7 linked regions of the Ovis aries genome follow. The protein of the gene in region 2 purifies or fractionates together with the protein of the main gene of each other region. This does not show direct contact. Links are inferred from orthologs where the notes say so. Each region holds a gene or a part of one and is shown on either strand. Other genes may lie near its edges.

Region 1 (3,834 bases), on a different chromosome or scaffold from region 2:
AGCCTCTGCGGCTGGCCTGTCCCGTGCATGCTCTTGCCAACTAACCTCCCTTCAGACACTGTTTGGCGGCTCTGTGTGTGGCTCTAACTCCTGGGGGTCCTAGGTAAGAGCACTCAGACTGGGCCAGAAAGCCCTCCGATTCCAGGGGGAGAGAGCCAGGGGTCCCGTTGAAGGTCTCTGGTGGGCTCTGAATATCTGGGTGAATATGGTGAGCGGTTCTCCAGCAGTGCTGCTCAAGCCTCTCTCATCAGCGTCGGTAATTTGATTTGATTATTCCTTCTAGGTGTCTCAAAGGCTGTTGAGCACATCAATAAAACTATTGCGCCTGCCCTGGTTAGCAAGGTAGGACCTGCCTCCTGATGACTAATGTATATTAATGCTATCAGAGCGCCGCCCAGTCCAGGCCGGGGGGCTTCCCTGTTTACAGAAGAGCTTATTCTGAGAGCTAAAGAAGCCGGTGGGCTTCCCTGCATGCGAATTTTGGCCTTTGCTGACCCGCCCTCTGCCTGCGTGGCCATGTCTAACAGAGCATGGAACTGGATCTGAGGGTCAGGAGGCTCCAAGAGCCTTGATGTTCCCCAGCAATGATCTTGACCTCTTGGGAGTTAAGATCAGATTTTAAGGGTGGCTCCCAGGGGTGTTGAATGTAGTACCTGTGGTGACTGACTCATTTTTCATGAGCTGTGGAATTACTTACTATATGTTTAAACAGCAGAACTCTTGTTAAATAAAATCCTATTTGGAGCCTCAATATGGCAAACAGATATAAGTAGAGTTGTTGTAGAGGAAGTGAGGCTGAGGATCTCACAGCCCAACCTGCGCAGCTATTTTTTTGTCTCTTGTATCCTCTCTCCAGCCCCTCCCTCCCAGATTCCTATGGCCTAGCCTGGCCTCATGTGTCCTCCCTGGCGTGATCCCTCTCCCAGCTCCACTCTGAGTGCCCATAGCAAGTGGCACCTCTGCTGGCTCTATTCCCAGCTTGCCTGCTGTGGCCGGCCCATGTGGCCCTCTGTGATTGGTCCCCAGGCAGAGTTTCCATCACTGCTGTGCCATTCCAGCCTCCCAGCCCCCTCCACGCACCCCTGTTCTTCATTGTGCCTCGGTACCCTCAGCTGGCACAGCTAACTTTCTTGGACATTTTCTTTTATTGGTTACTCCTGGTGGGTGTTGTCCTTGAGCCAACTGCTGGGGTGACGTCTAACTTTACCCAAAGTTGCCTTGACACAAAAGTTAAAAGATGCCAAAGTGTTAACAGGGTTTGATGGACTTAAGAGATTTTTGTTTTCTTTTTGTATTTTAGTTTTTTAATAAGAAAGATGATAAATAATTTGCTGTTGTGAAGTTTTTAAAGTAATGTTGACTTTTATTTCATTACTTTGAGCCAGTTTTTAAGATGCCAATTTGGTTACTTGATACTCTCACCAAAAGTATTCATTTTGGTCAGTTATCAGACATTTTGGGGACTTCTCTGACATTCCACACTCCCAATGCAGGGGGCCTAGGTTTGATCCCTGGTCAGAGAACTAAGGTCCCACATGCCACACACAACCTGGCCTAAAACATTAAATAAATAAAGTTGTTTTTTTTTTTTTTGGCCTTGTGGACTACCTACAAAACTTGTATCTCCCATCAGATACTCAGACATCCTCACTGAGGACCGCTGAGTGACGGCAGAAGCTGACTTTGATGAGCACGGCTCTTCAAATAAAGAATGAGTTCTGTTGTTCTACGGCCCCCAAAGTCACAGTGCTGGGAGAAGCACCTGATGCTCTTAAAGCCTGTGATGGGCAGTATTGTGTCTCCCTGTTTGCTCCTGACGTGGATAAGCACAGAACTGACCTGGGCTTTGCTGGTGGCTCTGTGACAGGAGGGCCCAGGGCATGCGGGTAGAAGCACCATTCCGTCCAGGCAGCTCACCCTCCTTTCTCCCTGCAGAAGCTGAACGTCGTGGAGCAGGAGAAGATCGACAAGCTGATGATAGAGATGGACGGCACAGAAAATAAGTGTGAGTGGCCCAAAGGGAACCTTTGCAGGATGGCCATAGCTTCTCCTAAAGACTCTTGAAGTCCCTTGGGGAGAGGTCATGTCGTCCCTAACGATGAGTTATGTGACCAGATAGCTGTGGTCCTTGCCTCATGTTCATAAATTACATCTTTGAATATCAGGAGTACAGCCAGCTGACAGCAGCAGGTGTTGAGGGTTACTCAGAAGAGGCCTGTGCTTTAGATAGTGTAGCAATTTGCAGAACTTTCTAGAGTTCCATAGACCAAAGAACGGGCTTTCTCTTTCGGTGAAGAGCAGATGAGTGTATGTGGGAAGGAGGCTGTTGCATTTCTGGTGTGATAGAGATGAAGAGGTTCGGAATACAATCCAGGGCTCACACAGTGGTGGTCCAGGCAGGAATGCCAGCTAGAGGAAGGCTGGTGGGTAAGATATACCTTCATTTAACTCTGTTCTGTTCCAGCCAAGTTTGGTGCAAACGCCATCCTGGGCGTGTCCCTGGCTGTCTGCAAGGCTGGTGCTGTGGAGAAGGGGGTACCCCTCTACCGCCACATCGCCGACTTGGCTGGCAATGCCGAGGTCATCCTGCCAGTTCCAGTGAGTAATTGCTTTGAGCTTCCCGTGTGTGGAGGAGGGAGTGTTTGCTTTCTCATGGGGACCCAAGAGCTCCCGCCTCTCCAGTTCATCCATATGTGACCCTCCAGCACAAGGGTACAAGGGGGCTCTGGGGGTCTCGGCTGCAGACAGCTCTGCCAGCGCCGGCTGACAGCGACCTTGAGCGGTGGCCCAGCTGCCCTGCACCCATCTCCTTAGTTGTCGATGGGAGAGGGACTCTGCACTTGCCTTGTTGGATTATGTGCACCTGTGGCGGTGGCTGCATTGCAGTGATGGCATGGGCTCCATGCAGGAGCTGGGCATTGGGGGCTGCTGGGGGCAGAGAGACCCTCCGGGCCGGGAGCTATACTCCTCTCTCTCCCCACAGGCTTTCAATGTCATCAACGGTGGCTCTCATGCTGGCAACAAGCTGGCCATGCAGGAGTTTATGATCCTTCCTGTTGGGGCCGAAAACTTCCGGGAGGCCATGCGCATCGGAGCAGAGGTTTACCACAACCTGAAGAACGTCATCAAGGAGAAATACGGGAAGGACGCCACCAATGTGGGAGATGAGGGCGGCTTTGCCCCCAACATCCTGGAGAACAAAGAAGGTAGCAGCTCCAGGGGAGCCCCAACCCTGGGCACCGCAGCACCCCTCCCACCCCCACCCCTGGTCTGCTGCTTTTCCACCTGCCATTCAAGTACCAAATTGAAAAACCCTTTGTGATTTAAGAAACTAGCACTTCCTTTAAAAAAGAAAGAGAAGTTTTCTTATTAATTTGACTTCTAAATGGCTGGATGATTTGCTTATACCATCCTTGCTCCTAAGCGATGGCAAAAGTGTGCGGCCTGCTCCCTGTTTAAGGATACTGGCATGCTGAGGTTTCAGGTCATTCAGCCGCAGTAATGCCGTACATGCTTTGTTTCACTTTGAATCCTTAGATTGAGAGTTGAAGAGAGGATACAGAAGTCTTAGGAGAAGAATTCATGGCTAAATTTTTTGTTTTAGAAGAAAAAGTTAGGGTTGCAAGCATATTTCATGGGCTTCAGGGATGGTTAGTGAAAGGAAATGTCCATCCTGACCTTTGGGTCCATCATACACAGTAGCTGACATTCGACTGTTTTAACTTATGAAAACTCAGCCATCTCATGTGGTTTGAATTCGGGCGCCTTTGCTGTGCAACAGTAGCCAGTGTCTTGGTCCGTATCCCTACAGGCAGTGCTTCTGAGTGAGGCCGA
Region 2 (3,834 bases):
AATCTGCATTCCCAGAGACAAGAATGTTGTCTTTGAGTTCCATTCCACTTGTTAACGACTGGTGTCCTGTTAGCGTGTGAATGCAGTTCCCTGTCTCCACATCCCAAACACGGATTGACGTATCAAGGGATCCACTCACCACATGGATGCCATCAAACTACAACAGACACAGTTTATTAGACTAGAAGTGTGGGTATTCTTGATTATTATCTATTGACCTTAATCCTAAAAAGGGAGGGGAGCAAAGCATGAGAAACAGATAATGCCAGGAACAAAATGAGGTACCAGGGTAAGCTGCATGCAACCGAACGACTCCCCAGTGCATGTTCTCAGAAGCTTCTATCAGAAACGCGAATTTTTTCATGACCAGTGGCCTCAAACTAGATGCAGAAACAATTTTTAAAAAAGCACAATGAACGTATTATTGTCAGACCATCTGGCCACACTTAGGAGCTACATATTATGAATGATTCGATATGGACTACCATTGGAGTTTTACTTCCCAACGGGAAGGTGAAACTACTGATGTGGTTTATGATACAAGGTGTGCTTATCAACATCTACGGCACGGAAAGAGCTAGAGATAACTCTCATGATACTTCAAAGTAAGTTCCATTAAACTGTATGTAAAATAAAAATTTCACTTACAGGAACCTAATGCTAGGTAGGAACTGTGCCAACAGATAATTAATCTAGAATTAGAAGTGGTGGCATTTTGATAACCAAAGCAAACTATCTATGGTACTCTTCTCCAGCTTCCCAGCTAGACCAGAAGTCAACAAACATCTACCAATTCCCAGATCGATTTAAAGTTCCTACCTATTTTCTCAATCTAAGGGGTTTATTTAAATGAGGCTGTTATATTCATTAAGGTTCTGAACACATCACAAAACATACAGACAACTGCAGCCAATTCCCTCTCCTCCAAATTAATAACCTTTTCTAAGTTAACAGCCATCTTTATTTTATGTCAATATTTCATGACATAGACAGAATCCCATGAAGAAACAAATACTCCAAGGACAGAACTGTGAGCCCTAGGACCATGTACTAATTTGCTGATCACTAGTGGGCAGTAATTGGTAAACAAGCTATGTAAGTATTACTAATAGCAAATACAGCTGACCCTTGCACAACATGGGTTTGAACTGGGAGAGTCCACTACACTTAAAAATTTCTTTCGCTCAATACCTACTATGTTACTACACAGTCCCAGGTTGGCTGAACTCTTGGATGTGGAACTGCAGACACTGAGGGCCAAGTTATGCAAGGATTTTTGACTGGAGTGGTGGTGGAGGGTAGTGTCTCTACACTGTTCAAGAGTCAACTGTATTTTTTAATGTCTTTCAGGAAACAAAACAAGACCTATTTTTTAAACCTGCTAATAATCTAGTTATTTATGTCAAAATATGGCAATCTATTCTAGGATATCAGGTTCAAACAAAAACAAACCAAAAATGTTTAAGACAAATTTCCTTCTTTATGACCACAACCCAGCAGCCCTGTGGCAGCAGAGCAGCTTTGTGCCCAAAGCTCCACTTCCACTTTGAATGGGGGCAGAATCACAATTACATGGTCCGTCAACTTCCAGCTATCAAGGCAACGGGGCAGCTTCTGGCCAAATTAATCCTGTGCTAAGGAGTTTATTAAAATCCAGGCTATTTTCCTATGAGACTATCTCCCCATTAACAGGAAAATTTAGAGCCCCAAAATCTCAGGTTCCAAGACCAATATTTATATTTTAGAGGAAGATGACTCACAGAAAAATGGAAACAAATCATTTAAATAATTTCAACATGTATGCTTTCTTCGTGCCAATTTTAAAGTAAATGTAAACAGCAGAATAATTCATCTGTTTTGGACTGTACTGGATCAGCAGTCTGAAGTGATTATGGACTAAGACAGTATTATGACTGGTTACAAGAGCGCCACAGGAGCGAGCGCGCGCAGCCTCTTACCTGCAGTGAGTAGACCCTGTTGGTGTGGCCCTGCAGCGTATGCAGACAGGTCTCTGTCTCTGGGTCCCACACCTTCACCATGAAGTCATACGCTCCGCTCACAACCCTCCTGCCATCATACTGAACGCAGCGGACTGCTGCTACATGACCCATCAGCACGTGTAAACACTGGCCTGTCTCAATGTCCCAAACCCTAAGCGTGGCATCTCGAGAACCGCTAACGACTCTGCGGGTGTAACAGGAAAAAATGTATGAGAGCTTAAAATCATGGGAAAACAATACATAAAAAGTCAGTGGCCATTAAAACTTTTCTTTTTCTTAAGCAGAAACCACCTGTTTTCAAAATAAATACATGCTATGTCAAACCTCATGTGCTATATGAACACATGAAAGTTGAGTTACTTTGCTTGGGACGGGAAGTTGGAAAGCCTTAGATTCTGCCTGTTTGGTTCCCCCACCTATGAGGGACCCAGGAGCACCTTGGCGTCCTGCGGTTTGAAAACTACTGTATTATAGCTAGATACAATGAAGATGAAGCAGAGGAAGATAAAGATAAAAAATTAGTAGAACACATGGCAAACTCAAAATACATACAAGATCTTGATTTTAGAAATAAGATGCCCGTGTGCATAGTGTGTATAAAATGTTAATAGGTAGTAACATTGATATTTTGAAAAAGTTCAATTTTTTCCTTATTCTTTCTGCCATTTCCCAAAATTTTAATATGAACACACATTACCTTTATGACTAGGGAGAAAATTCAATAGAAGTGTCTCAACGAAACAAGCCAGAATTTGGAATTTAAACTGCTAAAGATATGTGCTTTATATCATGTACTCTGGTTAAAATAACCAGTTTTAAATAGGTCCTCAAACAAAGGTTGCTTGTGCTTATATTTTAAAATATTCAATAGGCTACGAGGGCATTAAGATATAGAGATTTTTAGAAGATACACATGTAGAGGCAACAGAAATCCCTTAAAATTTTGACCCAAGATTATTAAAGTGATACTCTTCCATAAACAAGAGTGATACAAATACTGTAATCACCTTTGGATTACAAAGGAGAGCTGAAAACTCAGGTGTCTTTAATGTTATTCCTAAGAGATAAAGAAAGACCACTTTCCATGTTTGGAAGAGTAGAAAATGGAAGCATTGAGACATTTAAGTCAGAACATACTGAAAACTGAATTGCAAGGTCTCTTGATACTAACTCCCCCAGTTTTAACAGTAGAGCACACTGTTCAAAGCAGATTCAAGTCACAAGTGAAAAAGGTACTTTTCTTGATGTATTACAAATCTTGAGTGAAATATGTCTAATGAAATGGTTCTTAATAAAGAATGCCATGGACAGAATGAACAGTAAAAACTGGAGTGGATTCACTGTAAGGACGCTTCAGAGAGACTTTTTCTGACAAAATAGGTAAGAAATCACATCTGTTTAACAGGAGTACCATGAAGACACGCCACTGGAAAACAAAAAGGACTTTTAATAGGAGGGCTCTGTAGCAGGAAATAAAAGCAACAGCAAAGATACTGAGAAGAAAAAGGCTAGCATTGGCTGAAACTATTCTGAAAACTGGATTTCTTCCTTAACTCAGGGTGCAACAGAAGGCTCCCAAAGGCTCGTGGTCCTACCATAATCAGAGGAGGTTCTCTGCCAGCTGTGTGCAAGGTGACCAAATATGAAAGCTCAGTCACCAGTTCAGGTGACAGGTAATGGCAATGAGTTAAAACCTCGCTCAGCTTTTGCCTGGACACAGGGGAGACAATGGAGAGGGGAAGGGTGCTGGGTGGGTAACTAGAGAGACTCAGAGGCTTGAAGCCTGAATAACTGAATTTGTCCTCCCACCAAAAATATATCCTCCTACCTCAAA
Region 3 (4,615 bases), on a different chromosome or scaffold from region 2:
AACATCATGGGGTAAGGGCCCTATAGTGGAGCCACAGCCCCCACTTCCAGCAGGCCCTGGTCGGTAGTATTCAGCCATCTTTTGAAGCTGCTCCCATAAGCACTTGGTGATGATCTGAGTCCATTCTAGAAAAAAGATGGGAAGATGGCTATTTTACAGTGTCCCTCTGCTTAGAACACCTTCTGTCCCCCACCCCCACTCCCAGTCACCATGTTTCTAAATCCTATTCATCCCCATATAGGCTCTAGTCAAATGCCACCTTCAACAACAAGGTCCTACTGCATAGCACAGGGAACTACATTCGATATTCTATAATAAGCTATAACGGAAAAGAATGCAAAAAAGAATATAGATAAACACACATATGTATAACTGAATCACTTTGGTGTACACGAGAAACTAACACAACAGTATAAATCAACTATACTTCAACAAAATAAAACAAAACAAAACAAAACAAAAACAAATGTCACCTTCCTAAAGCCTTTCCAGGTATCCCCAAAAGAAAATAACCTTTCTGTTCACTGAAGTCTCAAAGAAACTTCTGCCTCCACTTTTTTATATTACATAATATTATTTATTTATTTTTGGCTGCTCTGGGTCTTCATTGCTGCACGCAAGCTCTCTAGTTGTGGTAAGTGGGGCTAGTCTCTAGTTGTGGAGTACAGGCTTCTCACTGCAGTGGCTTCTCTTGTAGAGCACGGGCTCTAGGGTGTGTAGGCTTCAGTAGTTGGGGCACATGGGCTCCAGAGCCCAGGCTCAATAGTTGTGGCTCACAGACTTAGCTGCTCTGAGGCATGTGGGATCTTTCCAGATCAGGGATCAAACCCATGTCTCCTGCACTGGCAGGTGGATTCTTTACCACTGAGCCACCAAGGAAGCCCCTGCCTCCACTTTTGACACTATGTTTCTATATTTAATTATGGGATTTGTACAGTGGCCTTAGCATCCCTACTAGACTATAAGCATCCTAAGAGCAGGGACTAGGTAGTGATTATCTTTATAGCCCAGTACCCACTCCAGTGTTCTTGCCTGGAGAATCCCAGGGATGGCGGAGCCTGGTGGGCTACCGTCTATGGGGTCGCACAGAGTCGGACACAACTGAAGCCACTTAGCAGCAGCAGCAGCACACATACAGTAGATACTCAAGACACTTGATGTTTACTAACTGAGTGAATGCAAGATACAAGCAGAAGCAAGGAATATAGATGAGGAAGGAGAGTAATTTCAAGGTTTCTCCACCACTCTTTGAAGTGATCAGTGGTACGTCCTCTGGTATTAGGAGTTACTCACCTGTGAAGGGGTCAATATGTCTCTTCTTAACCTTGGTCTCTGAGATTGCTGCATAGTAGGCACAGGTCATCTTAATGAGCCAGGCAGCCCGCATCACAGGCACTGTGTATTTGGCTAAATACCCAAACACTTCTTCCTTCTTACTGAAAATGGGGACCTGAATGGACATTGCAAACAGTGAGACCTCTCTCACCCCAGTGAGCTGACACCCGTGTACTTCAATCTGAAAATCAGAGGGTACTTGGTACTCACGTTCCCCCCTTTGGTCTAAAGAACAGGAAACAGTACCTCACCTTTTTGGCTAGTTGTGTGAGTGGCTTGGTGCCAGCCAGATCAGTAAACCAAGTATTAATGGCACTCTGGGATCGTGCAGTCACCAGCCAGAAGTTGTCCTTCTGGTTCACTTGGGGCTTCCTTCTACCAATGTCAGGGAGGGTGTTACAACGTAACTTCTCTGCAATGATGCTGCTGAAGTTGGAACTGATCTGAGGGAAGAAAGCTACACCTCAGGGTGGGAAGACAGAGCAGAAAGGTGGCTGTGCCTTTGATGGGCAAATGCCAGTGTGGTAGCATTAGGTTACAAAGGAAAACACCGCCAGTTAGGTCATCCCTTTACGTCTTCCCAGCCCAGGGTCTTTGCTCCCTCTCAGATTCTTCCAGCCTTTTCCTTCAGCCTGATGGGGTTGTCTCACCTTGGCAGGATTAAAGTTGACATTCTTGGCAGTGCCATGTTCATCCCCAGAGACAGCGGGCTGGTTATTGAAACCTTGTTTTACATTCAAGGCCGTTAATTCATCCTGAGGCAGGAAAACAACATTTTAGCTTTTTCCTTCCTTGGGGGAGATGGTGGTGGTGGTGGAAGAGGGCAGAAGAGAAGGGAACAAGGGTGGAAAAAAATAGGAAAATGATTGGGGAGTAGATAGCACATTATTATTTTAAAATAATCTCTTATATTAATTTGGACCCCCTCACCCCCACAGTAATAAGATTCCCAATCCCCAGAGCTCCCTCAACAGCACTCTTCCCCTGCGAGTTTACAAGCAGCCTTAGTTCATCCAGCCGCCTCAGACAACTTTCTGAGGTGTGTGTGTGTGTAGAGGGGGCGCCTCCAGCGTGGCCCCAACATCACTCCCGGTTCTAGCCCAGAAACCAGCCCCCACCTCCCCCAGGTCTTACTCTCCGATACCAGTCCACTTTACTCTTCCCCCTTTCGGGACTTGCACTCCCACAGAGCCGCCCCGCCCCCGCTTCCCCCAGCCATCAGTGCTTCCTCCTCTGCCGATCGCTGGCCCCTGGCCCCCTGGGAGCCCGAATTTCTGAACTCACCTCCTTCTGTTTGGGATCTTGAGGGTACACATCAGGAGGCCCCAGCCGCGGCCGCTTCAGGGGCCGGTGTTCGTAGCTCAAGATCCCGAAGGCCGCCATCTTGCTCAGCCCGTAACGACAGAGGCGCCAGCCGGGCCGATCGCGGGGGGGGGGGGGGGGGTGGGTAGGGGAGAGGGAGCCGAAAAGAGGGGCGGCGGTGGCGAGGACGGCAGCCGAGAGACTACAAGGGGCACGTTAGAAACTCCCGATCTTTGCCGGAAACTACCGAGGGAAACCGAGGGACGCCGGGAACCGTCTGACAATACCGACCGCGGCAGGGGCGGGCCCAGCCCGGCGTGGGGCGGAGCTCCGCGCCCCCGGAGCTTTTCGGCGCCCGCCACGGGAGGTGGATTTCACTCAGTCAAGATTCCTGCAGCGACCGCCAGTCGTGTGCTGCGCTGGGGATACGAACCTGCGAGGTGGGAGGCGGCCGAGGCGATGAGCTCCTACTGGAACTGGGTTCTCTGAGCCTCTCTCAGTTCTCGGCCTCGAATAAGGGCTAGATCGTCTGTAGGAACTCTTGCCTTTTTCAACCGCTTCTTCGTTTTTGCATCTGAAAAATAGGTATACTACTAACACCTCCTTTAAGGGACTGTTGCGAAGATTAGAAACTACATATGCATGAGAAAGCACGTGTTAAATCCTGAAAGGTCGGCTCTAATCCCTCAAGGTCTTTATGGTACATCACTGAGGTTCTTAACCGCTTGTGTTTCACAATCCCTTTAATATGCTGATGGAAGCTAAGGCCCTTCTTCCCAGAAAAAAAAATGTGCATAGAGATATACAAAATAGATACTTTCTAAGAAAAGGAGTATGTCAAGGCTGTATATTGTCACCCTGCTTATTTAACTTATATGCAGAGTACATCATGAGAAACGCTGGGCTGGAAGAAGCACAAGCTGGAGTCAAGATTGCCGGGAGAAATACCAGTAACTTCAGATAATGCAGATGACACCACCCTTATGGCAGAAAGTGAAGAACTAAAGAGCTTCTTGATGAAAGTGAAAGAGAAGAGTGAAAAAGTTGGCTTAAAGCTCAACATTCAGAAAACGAAGATCATGGCATCTGGTCCCATCACTTCATGGCAAATAGATGGAGAAACAGTGGAAGCAGCGGCTGACTATTTTGGGGGGCTCCAAAATCACTGCAGATGGTGATTGCAGCTATGAAATTAAGAGACGCTTACTCCTTGGAAGGAAAGTTATGACCAACCTAGACAGCATATTAAAAAGCAGAGACATTACTTTGTCAACAAGGGTCTAGTCAAGGCTATGATTTTTCCAGTAGTCATGTATGGATGTGAGAGTTGGACTATAAAGAAAGCTGAGCCCTGAAGAACTGATGCTTTTGAACTATGGTGTTGGAGAAGATTCTTGAGAGTCCCTTGGACTGCAAGGAGATCCAACCAGTCCATCCTAAAGGAGATCAGTCCTGGGTGTTCATCGGAAGGACTGATGGTGAAGCTGAAACTCCAATACTTTGGCCACCTGATGGGAAGAACTGACTCATTTGAAAAGACCCTGATGCTGGGAAGGGTTGAGGGTAGGAGTAGAAGGGGATGACAGAGGATGAGATGGTTGGATGGCATCACCAACTCAATGGACATGAGTTTGGGTAAACTCCAGGAGTTGGTGATGGACAGTGAGGCCTGGCATGCTGTGGTTCATGGGTTCACCAAGAGTCCAGACTGGGAGCTGAAGGGAACTGAACTGATACAGATTAGATACTTTGTAGGGAGATTCTTAGGCCCTCTCCTGAAGTTTATTCACATATCCTCTAAGGGTCCATGAACTTCAGGTTAAGAATCCTTGCTCTATGGAGAGGCACCTACTAAGTGTCAGATGCTTTTCAGACATTGTCTCTAATCCAACCCCCCTCACGCCCCTCCAAAAAAACAATGAGTTAGGGATATTATTGTATCCATTTTGTGGCCGAGGAAGCTGATTTTCAGAGTGGA
Region 4 (3,834 bases), on a different chromosome or scaffold from region 2:
GAATTGATACTATTGCTACAAGATCAGTGCACTAATTTATTTTCGCCTTTTGGAGCTGCAGACCAAGATCCCTTTCCCAAAATTGGTGTAGCTAACAATTGGGTACGTGTTGAAGAGCGGGACTGTTGCAATGACTGCTACCTTGCATTAGAACATGGGCGTCAGTTCATGGATAACATGTCAGGAGGCAAAGTTGATGAAGCACTTGTGAGAAGTTCATGCTTACACCCCTGGTCCAAAAGAAATGGTAAGTATGCTAATGAAGTAATTTTTCCTCTCTATTTTGTTTCAGTTGTATGACTTTTCTTTCTTAGAAAAAGGTAATAAAGACAGTTTCCCATTTAGCTAATAGAGACACTTAAATTTGCACTTAAAACTCCTTCAAGAATGACACTTTTAAAGAAAGAACTTCCGAGTAGTTTAGTTTAATTTCAGCAACAAAAGTATGGTTATTACAAGTCTGTAATTATGTGCTTGTGTAGGAGTATAAAAGGTACTTTGCACATGTTAATTAACAGAAAAATGTTGGTTGTCTGCTTTGTTCAGAATTCTTTCACTCATTACATATTTATTGAGCAACTAGTATGTGCCAGGGACTGTTCTTTTATAAACTGCAATATTAAAGCAAGCATAGTTCCTACTCTTTCTGAGCCTATAAGACTCAAAATAACAAATTTAAGTGAAAGTATTATATGGTATCAGATAGTGACAACTGCTTTGAAGGAAAAGCAGGGAAAGAAGTGGAAAAAGACAGGACAGAAATGTGTTACTTTAGAGGTATGTTTAGAAAAGATACTACTGAGGGACAGCATTTGAGCAAAGACCTACATAGAATGGGGGAATGTAAGCTGTGTGGCTAAACGAGAGAAGTGTTTTCAGACGGTGCAAAGACCGTAGTAGTGTGCTTAATGTTTGAGAAACAGGAAAGAGGCACTGTTGTTGGAATGAGCTGGGTGATGGGAGGACTGGTAGCACCAATGTCATGTGGAGTCTTATGGCCCATGTTTAACTGTGGCCTTCATGATTTATTCCAAGATGACTAGGACAGTTTTGAGCAAAAAAGTAAGACGATCCTTACTTACCCAAATGCGTATTTGGAAATACAAGTTTTAAATTGAGAGGAGTGGTTGGGGCTAGAGATTTAAAAATTTTGTGTGTGTGTATTAGTAGTGTTTTGGGGTTTCCCAGTGATAGCTCAGTGGGTAAAGAATCCACCTACAGTGCAGGAGACATAAGAGATGTGAGTTCAGTCCCTGGATTGGGAAGATCCCTTGGAGGAGGAAATTGCAAGCCACTCTGGTATTTTCCAGGCATGGACAGTGGAGCCTGTTAGGGGGTCGCAACCCTTCCTCCATGGGGTCTCAAAGGGTCAGACATGACTGAGCATGTGACGCCTACATGGCCCCTGTCAGTGTTTTAGACTGTGGAGCTGCATGGAACAGCCTGGAGAGTGACTGCAGGTAGAGAAGTCTAAGGGTAGGACTCACGTTTAGAGAGGGGGAAGAAGAGGAGGGCCCAGGGTAGGAAATTAAGGAGGTATGAAGAAGACCAAGGAAGTATGGTATACTGGTGGATTTAATGTATCTATAGATACAGATTTAATACATAGATTTTTAAAGTAGTAATTAAGAACATAGGCCATGGAACTGACTACTTGGGTTTGAAACGTGGCTCCATCACTATAATTTATGCCCTTGGGCAAATTATTTCATCTCTGTCTCAGTTTTTGGAAATAGTCAGTGATAGTATTTACCTCTTACAATGTTGAGAGAATCAAATGAGCTAATACAAATAAACAGAGACCATATAAAACAGAGTGCCTGGCACAAAATAAGAATTCAGATACTTGCAGTAGTAACAGTAGTAGTAATAAGAGTAGCATTAGTGGTATTCTGTTTTATTATTTGTTTTTAAGAACCAACTCATCTTCTTGTGATGAAAGGTCTCTTCACAAGAAAATAGAATTTATAACAGTATTTGTTGGTGGATGTTAGCTGGACTTACTGTGGTGATCATTTTGCAATACATATGCATCATCATTTTGTACACCTGAAACTAATATTATGTCAATTATACCTCAAAAAAAGAAAAAAGCACGTATTTGCCAAGCAATAGAAAATGCACGATAATGCTCAAAATCCTTTAAGCTAGGCTTCAACAGTACGTGAACTGAGAACTTCCAGATGTACAAGCTGGATTTAGAAAAGGCAGAGGAACCAGAGATCAAATTACCAACATCTGCAGGATCATATAAAAAGCAAGAGAATTCCAGAAAAACATCTGCTTGATTGACTACGCTAAAGCCTTTGACTGTGTGGATCACAACAAACTGGAAAATTCTTCAAGAGATGGGAATACCAGACCACCTTACCTGCCTCCAGAGAAACCTGTGTTCAAGTCAAGAAGCAACAGTTTAGAGTTGGACATGGAACAACAGACTGGTTCCAAATTGGGAAAGGAGTACATCAAGGCTGTATATTGTAACCCTGCTTATTTAACTTATATGCAGAGTTCAGTTCAATTGCTCAGTCATGTCTGACTCTTTGCGACCCCATGAACTGCACCATGCCAGGCCTCCCTGTCCATCACCAACCCCCAGAGTTCACCCAAACCCATATCCATTGAGTTGGTGATGCCATCCGACCATCTCATCCTCTGTCGTCGCCTTCTCCTCCTGCCCTCAATCTTTCCCAGCATCAGGGTCTTTTCCAGTGAGTCAGCTCTTCGCATCAGGTGGCCAAAGTATTGGAGTTTCAGCTTCAGCATCAGTCCTTCCAATGAATGTTCAGGACTGATTTCCTTTAGGATGGACTGATTGGATCTCCTTGCAGTCCAAGGGACTCTCAAGTTCAAAAGCACCACAGTTCAAAAGCATCAATTCTTCGGTGCTCAGCTTTCTTTATAGTCCAACTCTCACATCCATACATGACCACTGGAAAAACCATAGCCTTGACTAGATAGACCTTTGTTGGCAAAGTAATGTCTCTGCTTTTCAATATGCTGTCTAGGTTGGTCATAACTTTGCTTCCAAGGAGCAAGCGTCTTTTAATTTCATGGCTGCAGTCACCATCTGCAGTGGTTTTGGGGCCCCCCAAAATAAAGTCAGCCACTGTTTCCACTGTTTCCCATCTATTTGCCATGAAGTGATGGGACCAGATGCCATGATCTTCATTTTGTGAATGTTGAGCTTTAAGCCAACTTTTTCACTCTCCTCTTCACCTTCATCAAGAAGCTCTTTACTTCTTCACTTTCTACCACAAAGGTGTTGTCATCTGCATATCTGAGGTATTATTTCTCCCGGCAATCTTGATTCCAGCCTGTGCTTCCTCCAGCCCAGCGTTTCTCATGCTGTACTCTGCATATAAGTTAAATAAGCGGGGTGACAATATACAGCCTTGACGTACTCCTTTTCCTATTTGAATCCAGTCTGTTGTTCCATGTCCAGTTCTCACTGTTGCTTCCTGACCTACATATAGGTTTCTCAAGAGGCAGGACAGGTGGTCTGGTATTCCCATCTCTTTCAGAATTTTCTACAGTTTGTTGTGATCCACACAGTCAAAGGCTTTGGCATAGTCAATAAAGCAGAAACAAATATATGCAGAGTAGTACATCATGCAAAATCCCAGGCTGGATGAAACACAAGCTGAAATCAAGATTGCTGAGAGAAATATCAATAATCTCAGATAAGCAGATGACACCACCCTTATGGCAGAAAGTGAAGAGGAACTAAAGAGCCTCTTGATGAAGGTGATAGAGGAGTTTGCTGGCTTAAAACTCAACATTCAAAAAATGAAGATCATGGCATTCGGTCCCATCACTTCATGGCAAATAGAT
Region 5 (4,574 bases), on a different chromosome or scaffold from region 2:
AGCACAACCAAAAATAAAAAGCAGCTGAAACGTGAAGGAGTTCGCTGACAAAATAAAAGCATGTGCTCACAAAAACACCACTGTTACAAACAATTACAACAATACTGTGAAATTATTCCCATCTTAAAGAGGGTAAGTGGCACGTTCAAGTCACCACTACTGGTAAGATCTCATCCGCCACCCCCTCTCTCCCATCCTTTGAAGTGGAGTACTCAATACATTTGGCTGTCTAGACAGGAAAGCAGGTTTTTTATTGTTGCTGTTTAAAAGGAATAGGAGCTTTTGTTAAAGATGCTGACTATGTACACAGCTACAGGTAAGGTTACACGAAGCCTATATTCTCAGGACCCAAAGGAGAATTCCTATTCAAAGGCCTGCTCTTCCCTGGAATACAACCAACCATTGTAGAGCAGTGTTTCTCAGACTGGTTTGGTGACCCACAGTAACAAATGTAATTTACAGTGGACCCAGTTGTTTATATACTGAAAAAAAAAAAAAGTCTTATGAAAACTTCTCCTTTACCATATATAGATATACTCCTATTTCATTAAAAAAACAACAACAACAACAACAAACTCAAGTCATGAGCCACGCAAGACCCACAAATGGACAATGATCTGCCGTTTAAGAAACACTGCTGTACAGCACTCTCATTCTCTCATTTGCCCGGTATCTATACTTAAAATGATAAAGGCCCCAGCTGTGTGTATAGCAATCAGAGCCATGTCAATGATCTTAAATCTAATTTCTGTTACTAAGAAAACAGAAGATAATGATGGCATGATTATTAGCGCACTGTTAGCCTGCCTACTCACACACTCTGGTACCATGGGGGGAAAGAGGGGTACCCAAGATATTACTTCAAACCAGTTGCTAGCCTGAAAGGCAAGAAGGCAGCCACCTACTGCAACAGATTGATGACTTGGAAGGAAGCTAAATTTGTGTTCTGGGCAACATCAGGTGTCATGTAATACAGTCTAAGTAAGAAGAAGAAATGCTTCTACAATTAAAATCCTTACAATTCTTACTCATTCTAACACATGCTAACCCTCCTTCATAGTGATGCCATGAATATCATATACAATGAGAGGCATATGGCAGTATTCCACAAGTCAGTAAATACCTCCCACGGCTCAAGTCAAAACCCTTGGAGTCAGACTTGACACTTTTTTTCTCAGACCCCAAATCTGATCCATATTCCAATCATGTTTTACCTTCTTCGCTGCTAGAGCACATGGTCCAACCCCATGACCTTTCACCTGGATTACCACAAGAGCCTAATACCTGGTCTCCTGGCTCCTGTCCTATTCTCAACGGCCTATTCTCAGCATGGCTGCCTCAGAGAATCTTTCAAAATGCAAGGTAGATCATATTCACGGCTCCCTGCTCAAAATTAGTGGTTTCCTATCTCAGAGTAAAAGTCAAAGTCCTTTTGATGGCCTGTAAGATCCTACATGATCTGGAAGGACCAGGTGGCATCTGCTAATTCTCTTTCCTTCACTCAGTGCACTCCAGTAACCCTGGTCTCGTCTATATTCCTCCAATATACTACACACACTCCTCTTCAGTATCCTTGAGCTCCCTCTGCCTAGGCTGTTCCTCGCACTGAGAAACCCAAGTTCACTCTCTCACATCAGTAAGGTTTCCCCTGTCTATTCTTCACTCTTCTACAGCTTCCCCACCACCACCACACACACTACAGAGACTCCCTTTCTTTCTTCCCTGACTTATGTTTCTCCTCAATATCTATCACCATCGTCACTATGTATTTTGCTCATTGCCCATCTTCCACATTCTGAATTTGGTCTGTGCACTACTGTATCCCGAGGACCTACAACAGTTGCCTGGAACCTAGTATAAACATCCAATTAATATTTACGGAATACATAAATGGGGGAATGAATAACATATTGGTTAAGAGCTCCGGGTCTGGTGATCAAATTCTGAATCCAATTCTTACTAGCAATACGAACTTAAGCTGAAGTTACTAAATTTCTCTAAGCCCTAGATTTCTCATCTGTAAAATAGAGTTTACTCTCGACTCAAAAAAAGACTGATGGGGAAATTAAAGGAGCTTACAGATGAAAGTCCTCTTGCCTGGAAAATCCCACGGGCAGAGGTGCCTGGTAGGCTGCAGTCCATGGGGTCGCACAGAGTCGGACACGATTGAAGAGACTTAGCAGCAGCAGCACAGATGAAACTCAAGCACCGTACCCGGCAATCAGCTGCTTCTCAGTAAGTCTTAGTGGTGTTTTACCAAGTTCAGTTCAGTTCAGTCGCCCAGTCGTGTCTGACTCTTTGCAACCCCATGGACTGGAGCACGCCAGGCCTCCCTGTCCATCACTCTGTCCATCACGTTTATTAAGTTATTCACTAATAAATCAGATCTTGTATGTGAGCGCGAATGATAAACAGGAGCCTGGTGGGCTACAGTCCATGGGGTCGCAAAGAGTCGGACACGACTGAGCGACTTAACATAAACTTAAGGGGCTGACTTGACTTTCAGAAACGGCTCCTATGGATTTATCTAGTGTAGAGACCGTTTGGAAAAAAATTCAACTTCCAAGGCCTTTCATTTAAGGGCTCACTTAAGGCTGGGAGAATGTCCTCTGCCTCCATCCGGCTCCCAGGAACCCCAACTCTGTTCTCGATCGCCCCGCCCCCTACCTTTTTCAGTCACCACGAAGCACTGCTTGACCGGCCCCACCTGACTGAATAGTTCCTCCAGTTGCTCGCTGCGAGCCGAGGGCGGGAGGCGGCCCACAAACAGGGTTAGTCCGGCCATGAGGCCGAGAAACGCGTACGCAAGGTCGCGCACGCGAGTCAACTAACTGGCTTTAGTAAGCGGACCACGCTTACTAAAGTTGCCGTGAGACTCCGGAAGTGCGCGTCACTCAAAAGAGTCCGGAGGAAGACGTCGTAGAAAGGGAAAAACCATTCCGGAAAGGAAGAAAAATCGTGCCCCCTGAGGGCGGAGCTTCTTGAGCGAGGCTCCACCCCCTAACCCAAGTACCGCCCCCGCCTCTGTAGGGAAATTTGGCTTGGCTTAGTTTCTAGGCTTATTACAATCTAACCTGCTGGGGATCGATACCAAACTCAGCAGGGCAGGCCAGAGAAGCTGTTTTTGCTCTGGGTCAACAGGATCTGACATACAGTGGATGTTTAATAAATATTTTCTAAACTGCCTGTGTTCCAGGATCCAGGAACACCCAGATTACATGCATAAAACACAGCCATAATGCAAGTCAACACAAGTCATATATCATTCGAACAAATCTCCAGTTCTCAGAGAATATGAGACATCTGTCACACTTTAACAGATAACTGTATCTGTGCCTTTAACACTTCGCTGACAAATTATAGCTATTAAGGTTCAAATAGGCACACAGGTCACACATAATCATTCTTTCAAAAAATATTTACTGAGCTCCTACCATGTGCCAGGCACTAAAGATAAAATTGATGAGCTAAAAAAAGACAGGGCTCCTGCCTTCATGGAGAATAGTCTTGTGGAGATAGACAAACATCAGTACAAAAAAAACTTACAAGTAAACCAAAGCCTGCACCATGCAAGATCACAAGAGAACACACCCCGAACAAGCAATACATCCAGATTACACAGACCTAGAACCCAGGTCTTCCCAGAGACAGCTTTCCTCAGGTCAGCTTATTAGATGGACCCAAGGCTGTGTAATCTCACTGGCCAGGAGATCTGGGTGCTCCTGGATCCTGGAACACAGACAGTGTTTGCTACCCCATTGGGTTCAGGAACTGACCTGTGTGCAAGACTGCAGCACCCTGCAGAATATTTGTACAGAACAAAAGTACCCAATGTGATTTTTTAGTAATTACTTTTAAACGGTATAACCTGAACACAGGGCAGGTAGAACATTCAAAAAGTACAAAAGGTACAGTGAAAAGGTTTCCCTTTCTCCTCAAACCCCATCTACTTTCCACACATTTTGGATTGGTGGATAACTGGTTGATAGCGATGAGGGGAAAGGGAAAATGTTTAACATTAGATTTATGAAACCCTAACTTGAAGTATTTTATGCTTAAAAGAAAATGCCACAGTTACTTTTAAACACATAACTCAGCAGAGGAAGTATTGAAATATGAATCAGATTTATAAGGGCATGGGTTAATTCCATCCAGGATAAACAGAGACAAATAGACAAAGGAAACTGAACACTTTGAATAAAGTTGATTTGGAACTCCACATTTCTCCTTTATTTTCTCCTCCTCTCCTGCCCCCTCACCACCTTAGAAATAAACATTTCATACCCAGAGTCTAAGTTACAAGCGTCAGGGCCCTAGCTGTGGGGACACCTTCCCAGTCCTGGCTGCAGTGTGCACTGGGGAAAGAATCCTGAGAAGGCTGCTCCAGCATCCCTTTGGGACACCCTCTACAGTGTTAAGTTGGAGATGCTTTGGACCCAGACCTTCCCTACAGAACACAAAGAAATTGTGGTCCTGTGCCCATCAGAGGGCAGCAGCCACCCACAGTGCAGAGGAGCTCCATGCCCCTAGAGAAGGAAAACAGTGCAGCTGACCCTTTGTACTCTTCCCGACTT
Region 6 (3,834 bases), on a different chromosome or scaffold from region 2:
TAAAAAGTAAACCAAATGAAAATCCTGTCCTGAAGTGCTAAGTATACTTAATTATTTAAAAGTAATGTTTCAAAAATTTTAAGACCTCATTGTGTGCAAATTTGAAAATTGCTGCTTATGGCCAATGTGAAAAAAGCAAAATTCTTAACGGAATTGTTCATTTCATGCCCTGTGCCACCTTGCCTACTATTTGTCTTTGGCCTAACAAAGTTTTCTAATATGGAATAAGAATTATGGAAATGGTATAGGGGATATATCACTCCAGAATTATGCAGTTTAGGGTACTCCATTAACAAGTGGTTGCTGGCCATCCACGGTGTCTGGCTTTTCCTTCCTCTGGTTACGATCTTTACCCGTGCGCAGCCGATTACCTTCACTGGAGGTATTCTGTAATGTTTTAGTGTGGACACTCCTTTCATTATTGCAGTCAACTCTGATCTAAAACAAGTTATAGTTGTTATATACACAGACCATATTCTGTTGTAATCTGCAATTGGCCTGACAAGAAATTTAAGCCCAAAGTGTATATTCCACATGTTAAAAGGGATTTGAATAGAAGAAGTGTGAGAAATTAAGGTCAGGTAGGAGCTTTATTTGGTTTATGATTCTAAAACACTCTTCTTCTGTAACTGGAACACCTTGGTCATCTCACTGCATCCAAAGTTAGATAAAAACTCACAATCCTACTGTGTCTTCTTCTAAGTAGAACAAAACAATGAGAAACAAATAGTTAAAATGAACTCCTATTACGGATTGCAAAATATATATGCAAAATATACAGGTCTGTTCAAAAAAATGGTTTATTCTTCAAAGATATGAAACCCAGGAGGAGAGAGACAAATTATTGTCTTCCTATTCTGACGTTACCAGAGCAATAACTTAACTCACTTATTAACTAGTCTTTAGTTGACATCTTCATTTCTATCGTAAGTATGATTAACTTTTTCTACACTGAGGGCTCCCTTTGTCTTACAACATGTGTGTGTATATAAATATACACACATACTGTATATATTCATATATATGTATATATACACACACTATATATACTCATATGAGCACTGGTTTCTAGTAGCTTATATTACCGTAAGGAAAATCAGAGATCATACAACTTAAACTCTGAAGAATAAGAATAGTACAGGGAAATTTGAAGACACTAATGCGTGGGAGAACTGGAATCCCAGGAAGAGAATAGAGATGGATATGATTTAAAAAATAATATTCTGAGATTTATATAATATTTTAAGTGCCAGCACTGAACACTTAACACTGCTAATGCAATTGTAGATGCTGTACAAAAGAAAGATAATGTTGACACACAGGCCTAAAACAATTAATGAAAGTACTGATATGCTTCAAGTACAAATGGGACTACCTATAGTCCCAAAATGGTGCACTCGAATTTCAAAGTGTGTTTAATTGTTGGTCCTGGGTGAGTGTTTTAACTGTTTGGTTGTCAACAGGGGAAATATGAAACTGGTACATAAACGCCTTATAATTTCATCAATCTCTAGGTCTAAGATATTTTCTGTGATGATCCTTAAGCACCAGCTAATAGTTAACACCTACTTATAAATGCTAGGACTTCCCTAGTGGCTCAGACGGTAAAGCATCTGTCTACAATGCCAGAGACCTAGGTTCGATCCCTGGGTTGGAAGATTCCCTGGAGAAGGAAATGGCAACCCACTCCAGTACTTCTTGCCTTGAAAATCCCATGGACGGAGGAGCTTGGTGCAGGCTACTATTCATGGGGTCGCAAAGAGTCAGGCACACCTGAGCGACTTCGTTTTCTTTCTTTCTTTCTACAAATGCTATGAATTCTAAGGAATATTCTGTCATGAAGTTTCTGCTCTTAAAATTTATGTCTCACTAATTCTAGGTACTGGTCCCAAACCAATCCATAGTCATGAAGGGACCCCCAACTACTTGGATTAAGTCTTCAGAGTTAAAGAAGCAGCCGAAGAGATCATGCGTTCTGGGAATGAGGTACCAGGGTTCAAATATTACTCTGCTGCTGCTGCTAAGTTGCTTCAGTCGTGTCTGACTCTGTGCAACCCCATAGGCGGCAGCCCACCAGGCTCCGCCATCCCTGGGATTCTCCAGGCAAGAACACTGGAGTGGGTTGCCATTTCCTTCTCCAATGCATGAAAGTGAAAAGTGAAAGTGAAGTCGCTCAGTCATGTCCGACTCTTAGCGACACTATGGACTGCAGCCTACCAGGCTCCTCCGTCCATGGGATTTTCCAGGCAAGAGTACCGGAGTGGGGTGCCATTGCCTTCTCTGAAATATCACTCTAGTGTATGCTAACTATGTGACTCAGTCTTTCTAAACTTCAGTTTACTCACCTATAAAACAGAATAATAGAACTTCTTACCTCAGGGTACTGTTGAAACATTAAGTGAGATACAATACACCCAGCCAAGATACCTGGCTGTGCTTGGGGGCTCATTTTAAAATTATGTTAACAATGTGTTCAGCACAGGTGCTGGCCACATGAGATGCGTTCTCAGGGTAGAGGTTGGCTCTAAATAGGCAGCTGACTGATTCAGCATGTACTAGCCAAGTGTCATCAGCCCTGTCTATTGTGAGCTAGATACCTTCTTTTTCTTACTTTCCAGTCAAAGAGGACACCCTATCCTTGCAACTCTGGTGAGAAGGGATGTGGGTTCCTCAGGGCTTATACAAGTCTCTCTCAGTACATTCCTGGATGTTTCTTTCCTTGGAGAATGGGGGTAGGGAGGATTACCTATGTGGTACTTAAGTCATAATGTGGTTGTCGAAATCTTTACAAATACTGAGACTGCACATTCTTTAGATACATCTTCTTTGTATACTTGTCATAAAGGACTAAAATTGACCACAAATGTAATGTTGAAAGGAAAGTATTTCACAAATACCTATATAGTATGGCAAATTCACCTAAATCTCAAACTTATGTAACTGGGACAATTTGGATGAAAAGAGGCACATAGGTTTACCTGGAGGGATCCATCTGCTGTTCTTCCTTTAGCCTCTCTTGGATTACGTGGACGATTATCTGTTCGGGAGTGATCGTCGTTTCCTATAGGGACATTTTTAAAAGGTTCAGTGGTCACTGATTCTGACATGCCTATTGTAGAGTTCTTTGTTCCCACATCCTCAATTTATTTAGACCAACCACAGAATCTAAAATATAATCAACCTAGCAATTTCAGTTACACACTGTCTAATAATCTAGCATCCAGGTGGCACTAGTGGCAAAGAACCTGCCTGCCAATGCAAGGGACATGAGACCTGAGTTCGATCACTGTGTCCGGAAGATCCCCTGGATAAGGAAATGGCTACCCACTCTAGTACTCTTGCCTGGAGAATCCCATGGACAGAGGAGCCTGGTGGGCTACAGTCCACAGGGCTACAAAGAGCTGGACATGACTAAAGCGGCTTAGTGCACAGAAGCACATGTTACAAAAAACATTCCTAAGCCATCACAGTTCTACATCAACTGTGTGATAGGTCAATCTGAACTAATGATTAGATGTGATGTTTAGAGTACCCAAAGAAGCTGAACTAGTTATCAGGGGTTATTCATATGTTTGTAAACTGTAAGGAAGCCTGTCTGATATTGCTAATTAATTACGTGAGCCTTTCTTATGGTGACCAGTACAAAATGGAAGAAATGGGGGCTTGATAGTATGTCATTGAATCACCTAGCTTTTTCATAGAACTTCAGACAGTTGTTACAATTCAGCTTCATTTCTTAAACGAAAAACCCTCTGTACCTTTGAAGCTGCCTCCACGTCCTCTTCCTCCTTGTCCTCTTCCTCCGCCGCCACGCCGCCGCCCGTCTCCTCTGCG
Region 7 (4,427 bases), on a different chromosome or scaffold from region 2:
TTCAAGTAAAACAATAAATTCAATATGCTGTTATCTGTGCGGCTTCCCAGGGGGCACTAGTGGTAAAGAACCCATCTGCCAATGCAGGAGATGCAAGAGATGTGGGTTCGACCCCTAGGTTGGAAGATCCCCTGGAGGAGGGCACGGTGCCCCACTCCAGTATTCTTGCCTGGAGAATCCCACGGACAGAGGAGCTTGTCAGGCTGCAGTCCATAGGTTCGCAGAGTCGGACACGACTGAAGCGACTTAGCACGCATGCATGCTGTTATTCTCGTGTAATGTCTAACTTTATGCTTGTTTAGTGCCTCACAGTTTTCAAGGTGCAGTGAGTGTTTAAGCATTGAATAAGGATCTTTTGGAGGGACACAGATATGTAGCAAATACTTCCAGGAAGTTAGAGAGATGGAGAGAGAGAGAGGGAGCGGGAGACAATGACAATGTGTGTGTGTGCGCGCCCTCGGGAGGGGAGAAAGTGCTGAGCACATCACTCGATGCAAAACCAGCTTAAAGGAAGCCTGCGGTGGCGGAAGGAGACAGTATCCCGCTGAGACTTGGGAAAGCTTCTCCATGCTGGTCTCTGGGAGAGGCACACCACTTCCTCAGTTGTGCTGGGGGACAGCATCCTTGTTGGTTGGCTCACAAAGATGTCCGGTGACTGTAGCAAAGAGAACTAGCTCCCTGGGGAGGGGATTCCTTCCTAGGACCCTGACTGGGGCTCTGGGCTCTTGATTGCTGTTACTGGCTCCCTGGGCGTTAACAGTTGTCCCGGTATTAGCAGGTCCACGGTCCTTACCTTGGGAACAAGGCCCTCCCTAACGGAGCCCCACCAGTCGCTCCAGCTTCCTCTTCGGCCTCCGCTTTTAGCTCCAGGAAGACCACAGCGTTCGCAGCTGTGCGATGCCTCGGGGCCCGTGGGCACCCGCTCCTTCCTCCCGCCGAATTCCTCATTCCTCCAGCCCCAGCTGAGGCTCTCCGCATCCCGGGATCCCTTAACCCGGCCAGGGCCGGGGGAGCGCTCTTGCGCGGCGCTCCCACAGTCTTGTTCTGGAAGTCGGGGCACCCGCTCCACTGCGTCCTCCAGATAGGGGAGGGTAGCAAATGCACAGGCCCGCCTGGCCTCCAGGGGGCAGTCCGGGGACTTGAGTGAGCGAGGGAACGACTGAATGACCAGGTGGCTAAGGGAGCGGGTGGGCGAGTCGCTGAACGAACGAGCGGATGGACCAGCGGGCGGACGACCGAGGAAGTGGGCGGGCGAGCGGACCAGAAGGTGAGAGAATAAATGGATGAGTGAGTGAGTGGGGGCCTGAGGGAAGGCAGCTGGGGGCTGACTGGGCGGGCGAGGGAGCGGCGGACGCTGGACGCTGACCGCGCGCCTGGGCCGCGCCACCTGCCCTCCGCGTGGCAGCCGAGCCGGGGCGGGGCGGGAAGAGGCGGAGAAGTGGGCGTGGCGACGTCGGGAGTGGGCGTGGCGGACCCGGGGCGTGGGCGTGGCGAGGCCGAGAGCGGGCGGGGCAGGCCCGGGGCGGGCGGGGATAGGCCGGGAGTGGGCGTGGCCAACCCTGGGCGTGGGCGGGGCGAGGCCGGGCCCAGGCCGGCGGGCGCGGAGGAAGTCACGTGGCGAGCGCTCACATGACCGGCGGCGCGATGGACCGGCTGCCCACCGCGCCCGGAGCTGCAGCTGCTGAGGCAGAGGCGGACGAGGAGGCGGACCCGCCAGCGGCAGGTATGGCAGGCGCCGCCCCCAGGCCCCGCGCGGCTCCGGCCCGCGCCCGCTGAGGCCCTGCGGCCTGCGGCTCGCTTCCTGGCCCCGGACTCCCCGCGCCTGCTGGGTCCTCCCCTCTCACGGCCCCTCCCGGTCCACGCCCAGGAGGGCGCGTGGCTCCGCGGCTCAGAACCCCAGCACCTGTCCGGGTTTGCGCCTCTCCGCGCGCTTCTGCCTGCGTCTCCCCGGGACTGTCCGGGCCCCTCGGGGCCGCAGGACCCGCCCGCCCTGCGCTTCCTGCGTGCCCATCTGCCCTCCGCGTGTCCCTGGACTTGCCGGGCCTTGGCACATACTGCGGCGGCTCAGGACTTGAGCGTTTCTTCGGCCAGCCCGCCGTGTTTCTCCGTAAGTGCTTTTCTTAGTGGGTGAGCGTGAACGCTGAGAAGCACGCGGGAGGCTTGGCTTTTCTCGGATGGTACCCCCTCTAGCCTTCCAACTGGAGGATACATGTGGGTGTGAGTTATTGCAGCTTCTTGGTGGTGGCGGCGGCACAAGTTGGAAACTCCGTTTGGAGGGTCTGGAAGGTGTCCCTGAGAAGCTCATGCTTAAAGTGAGCCCTGAAGGGCTGTAAGACGGTTGATTCCTTAGGGAGAAAAGGAGATGGGAGTGGAGTGAAGTTGCTGGGGGCTGCGGTGGGGGTGGACAGTGCTCTGGGTTGGCCTGAGTGCCCTGAAGACCCTGGGTGAATCTGCCTTTAGACACCAGACCCGCCGCTCCCCACCCTTGGCCTTCATTTCACTTGTAGCTTTGTAAGGGGTAGCGTGTGACGGCTTCCGCTCACGGTTAGAACGTTGTGTTCAGGAGGTCACACGTTTGAGCCCAGCGTGGGCCGGTCAGCCAGCCTGTTTCAGGTGCCCACACTGGACTCCTTGTCCAGGTCACTTTTGGAAACATGAGGCGTTTGAGCAGGAACGCTTCTTCCCCTGGGGATGTAAAGCAGTTCGGAGTTGCTGGATGTGGTGGTCGTTCTGGCCTCTCTTTGCAGGTGCAAGGACAGCCTGAATGTTTCCTGCAGGACTCACCCACTGGCCGCCATCATGGAGTCAGCCAGCCCCGCTGTCTGAGACTGGCAGCTGGCCTTGTTAGGGGCTGTGGTGATTTTGTTAACATTAGGCGTCCAGTTGAGGGAGGTGGCATGGTAGAGGAAAAACACAACACCAACCAAAAAAAGCACTTAAAAAAAAAAAAACAAAACTGGGAAAGCTAAAACCCAGAGGTAAGTGGCCTGCCCACAGTGGGCAGTATTAAGAGGGTATGTTGTGGTGGGGATGGTGGTTAGATGGGGTGCAATCAGAAAATACGTCTTTGAGAGTGAATTTTATCCAAACACGATATTCACTAGGGAGGAAAGGAGATGGGAGTGGAATGAAGTTGCTGGGAGCCGGGTGGGGGTGGACAGTGCTCCGGATTGGCCTGAGTGCCTTTAGACACCAGACCCGCCGCTCCCCACCCTTGGCCTTAATTTTTCCTTTCACTTGCAGCTTTGTAAGGGGTAGCGTGTGACGGCTCATGCTCATGGTTAGAACGTTGTGTTCAGGAGGTCACACGTTTGAGCCCAGCGTGGGCTGGTCAGCCAGCCTGTTTCAGGTGCCTTTGCTCAAGCAAAGGTTGATTTTGACTGTTGAAGAAGCTGTGGCTTGTGGAATTCCATCTTCGCTGGTGTTCTGCCCACACAGCCGTAGCTCACTATTAGTATTAGCTGTGGGGACCATGGGGGTCTAGGTTTTTGTAGTGCCTTTGGGATTGTCGGAAAAAACGATGTTCACTGTGGTTTTCAGGCTTAATGTTTAAAAAAAATTTTTTTTAAGTTAATTTTTTTTTGGCTGCCCTGGGTCTTTGTTGCTGAGAGAGGGCTTGCTCTAGTTGCGTGGAACAGGGGCTGCTCCTCCTTGCCGTGCGTCGGCCTCTCCTTGTGGTGGCTTCTCGCACGGTGGAGCACAGGCTCTGGGCACGGAGGCTTCAGCCGTTGCAGCAGGCTGGCTCGGTGGCTGGGGCACACGGACTCCAGTTGCCCCACAGCATGCGGAGTCCCCCCAAACCAGGGATCCAGCCTGTGTTCCCTGCATTGGCAGGCAGATTCTTATCCCCTGTACTACCAGGGGAGCCCCAAGAATCATAGCATATTCTAATCCCTGGAAGCTTAAGCGGGGAGTGTTAACTCCCTTCCTAAAAATTTAACTTTCAATTTTACAATATGTAGATAATCGCATTTCCCTTACCAAAAAAAAAAAAGCAAACACCACTGAGAACAGTGTAGATTGGCACTCACCCCCCTCTTACCAGCCTGGGATGGACCCTCTCATGCTGTTCCTGTGTTTACACTCGTGTGCTCAGACAGTGCATGCCTCCTCGCGCCTCCGCGCGTGTGTTTCCCTACGGTCGTATATTGGTTTTCTGCTGCTGCTGTAACAAAAATGGCCCCACACAAAGTGGCTTAACCAGCAGAAAGTTCTCATTTTACAGTCCAGGAGGTCTGTAGCCAGAACAGGTTTTCCTGAGCTAAAATCTGGCTGTGGGCAGGGCTACGTTCCATCCTGAGGCCCTGGGGGAGAAGCCGTGTCTTGGTCTTTCCCGCCTCCCAGATGCCTTCCGCATGATAACCCCTTGCTCCAGCTGCCCCAGGCTGCGCCGGCCTGTCCTGTCCTGTCTCTGACTCCTACTTCTG

What was found.
Region 1: the proteins of FBXW7 (region 2) and ENO1 purify together in Homo sapiens (affinity purification with western blotting; 3 studies listed by BioGRID, with this or other methods). This does not show direct contact. The link is inferred for Ovis aries from reciprocal best matches to the Homo sapiens genes FBXW7 and ENO1.
Region 3: the proteins of FBXW7 (region 2) and MED12 purify together in Homo sapiens (affinity purification with mass spectrometry; 3 studies listed by BioGRID and IntAct, with this or other methods). This does not show direct contact. The link is inferred for Ovis aries from reciprocal best matches to the Homo sapiens genes FBXW7 and MED12.
Region 4: the proteins of FBXW7 (region 2) and MED13 purify together in Homo sapiens (affinity purification with mass spectrometry; 5 studies listed by BioGRID and IntAct, with this or other methods). This does not show direct contact. The link is inferred for Ovis aries from reciprocal best matches to the Homo sapiens genes FBXW7 and MED13.
Region 5: the proteins of FBXW7 (region 2) and RBM28 purify together in Homo sapiens (affinity purification with mass spectrometry, with the first as the bait; 3 studies listed by BioGRID). This does not show direct contact. The link is inferred for Ovis aries from reciprocal best matches to the Homo sapiens genes FBXW7 and RBM28.
Region 6: the proteins of FBXW7 (region 2) and FMR1 purify together in Homo sapiens (affinity purification with mass spectrometry, with the first as the bait; 3 studies listed by BioGRID). This does not show direct contact. The link is inferred for Ovis aries from reciprocal best matches to the Homo sapiens genes FBXW7 and FMR1.
Region 7: the proteins of FBXW7 (region 2) and SNX8 purify together in Homo sapiens (affinity purification with mass spectrometry; 3 studies listed by BioGRID and IntAct, counting the BioPlex papers as one, with this or other methods). This does not show direct contact. The link is inferred for Ovis aries from reciprocal best matches to the Homo sapiens genes FBXW7 and SNX8.

What each region holds. Positions count from the first base shown.
Region 1 is NC_056065.1:43,928,603-43,932,436, forward strand, and holds part of ENO1 (alpha-enolase), read left to right. Parts: intron 1-283; coding exon 284-342; intron 343-1,935; coding exon 1,936-2,005; intron 2,006-2,464; coding exon 2,465-2,598; intron 2,599-2,983; coding exon 2,984-3,206; intron 3,207-3,834. UniProt on the Homo sapiens protein: Glycolytic enzyme the catalyzes the conversion of 2-phosphoglycerate to phosphoenolpyruvate. In addition to glycolysis, involved in various processes such as growth control, hypoxia tolerance and allergic responses.
Region 2 is NC_056070.1:5,524,564-5,528,397, reverse strand, and holds part of FBXW7 (F-box/WD repeat-containing protein 7), read right to left. Parts: intron 2,185-3,834; coding exon 1,959-2,184; intron 158-1,958; coding exon 1-157. UniProt on the Homo sapiens protein: Substrate recognition component of a SCF (SKP1-CUL1-F-box protein) E3 ubiquitin-protein ligase complex which mediates the ubiquitination and subsequent proteasomal degradation of target proteins.
Region 3 is NC_056080.1:63,829,139-63,833,753, reverse strand, and holds the start of MED12 (mediator of RNA polymerase II transcription subunit 12), read right to left. Parts: upstream 2,950-4,615; 5' UTR 2,719-2,949; coding exon 2,620-2,718; intron 2,091-2,619; coding exon 1,986-2,090; intron 1,779-1,985; coding exon 1,587-1,778; intron 1,451-1,586; coding exon 1,294-1,450; intron 126-1,293; coding exon 1-125. UniProt on the Homo sapiens protein: Component of the Mediator complex, a coactivator involved in the regulated transcription of nearly all RNA polymerase II-dependent genes.
Region 4 is NC_056064.1:10,801,625-10,805,458, forward strand, and holds part of MED13 (mediator of RNA polymerase II transcription subunit 13), read left to right. Parts: coding exon 1-247; intron 248-3,834. UniProt on the Homo sapiens protein: Component of the Mediator complex, a coactivator involved in the regulated transcription of nearly all RNA polymerase II-dependent genes.
Region 5 is NC_056057.1:94,238,518-94,243,091, forward strand, and holds the start of RBM28 (RNA-binding protein 28), read right to left. Parts: upstream 2,897-4,574; 5' UTR 2,786-2,896; coding exon 2,668-2,785; intron 1-2,667. UniProt on the Homo sapiens protein: Nucleolar component of the spliceosomal ribonucleoprotein complexes.
Region 6 is NC_056080.1:87,701,172-87,705,005, forward strand, and holds part of FMR1 (fragile X messenger ribonucleoprotein 1), read right to left. Parts: coding exon 3,759-3,834; intron 3,062-3,758; coding exon 2,979-3,061; intron 699-2,978; coding exon of another isoform or gene 684-698; exon of another isoform or gene 439-683; coding exon 277-438; 3' UTR 1-276.
Region 7 is NC_056077.1:41,309,807-41,314,233, forward strand, and holds the start of SNX8 (sorting nexin-8), read left to right. Parts: upstream 1-1,627; 5' UTR 1,628-1,629; coding exon 1,630-1,723; intron 1,724-4,427. UniProt on the Homo sapiens protein: May be involved in several stages of intracellular trafficking. May play a role in intracellular protein transport from early endosomes to the trans-Golgi network.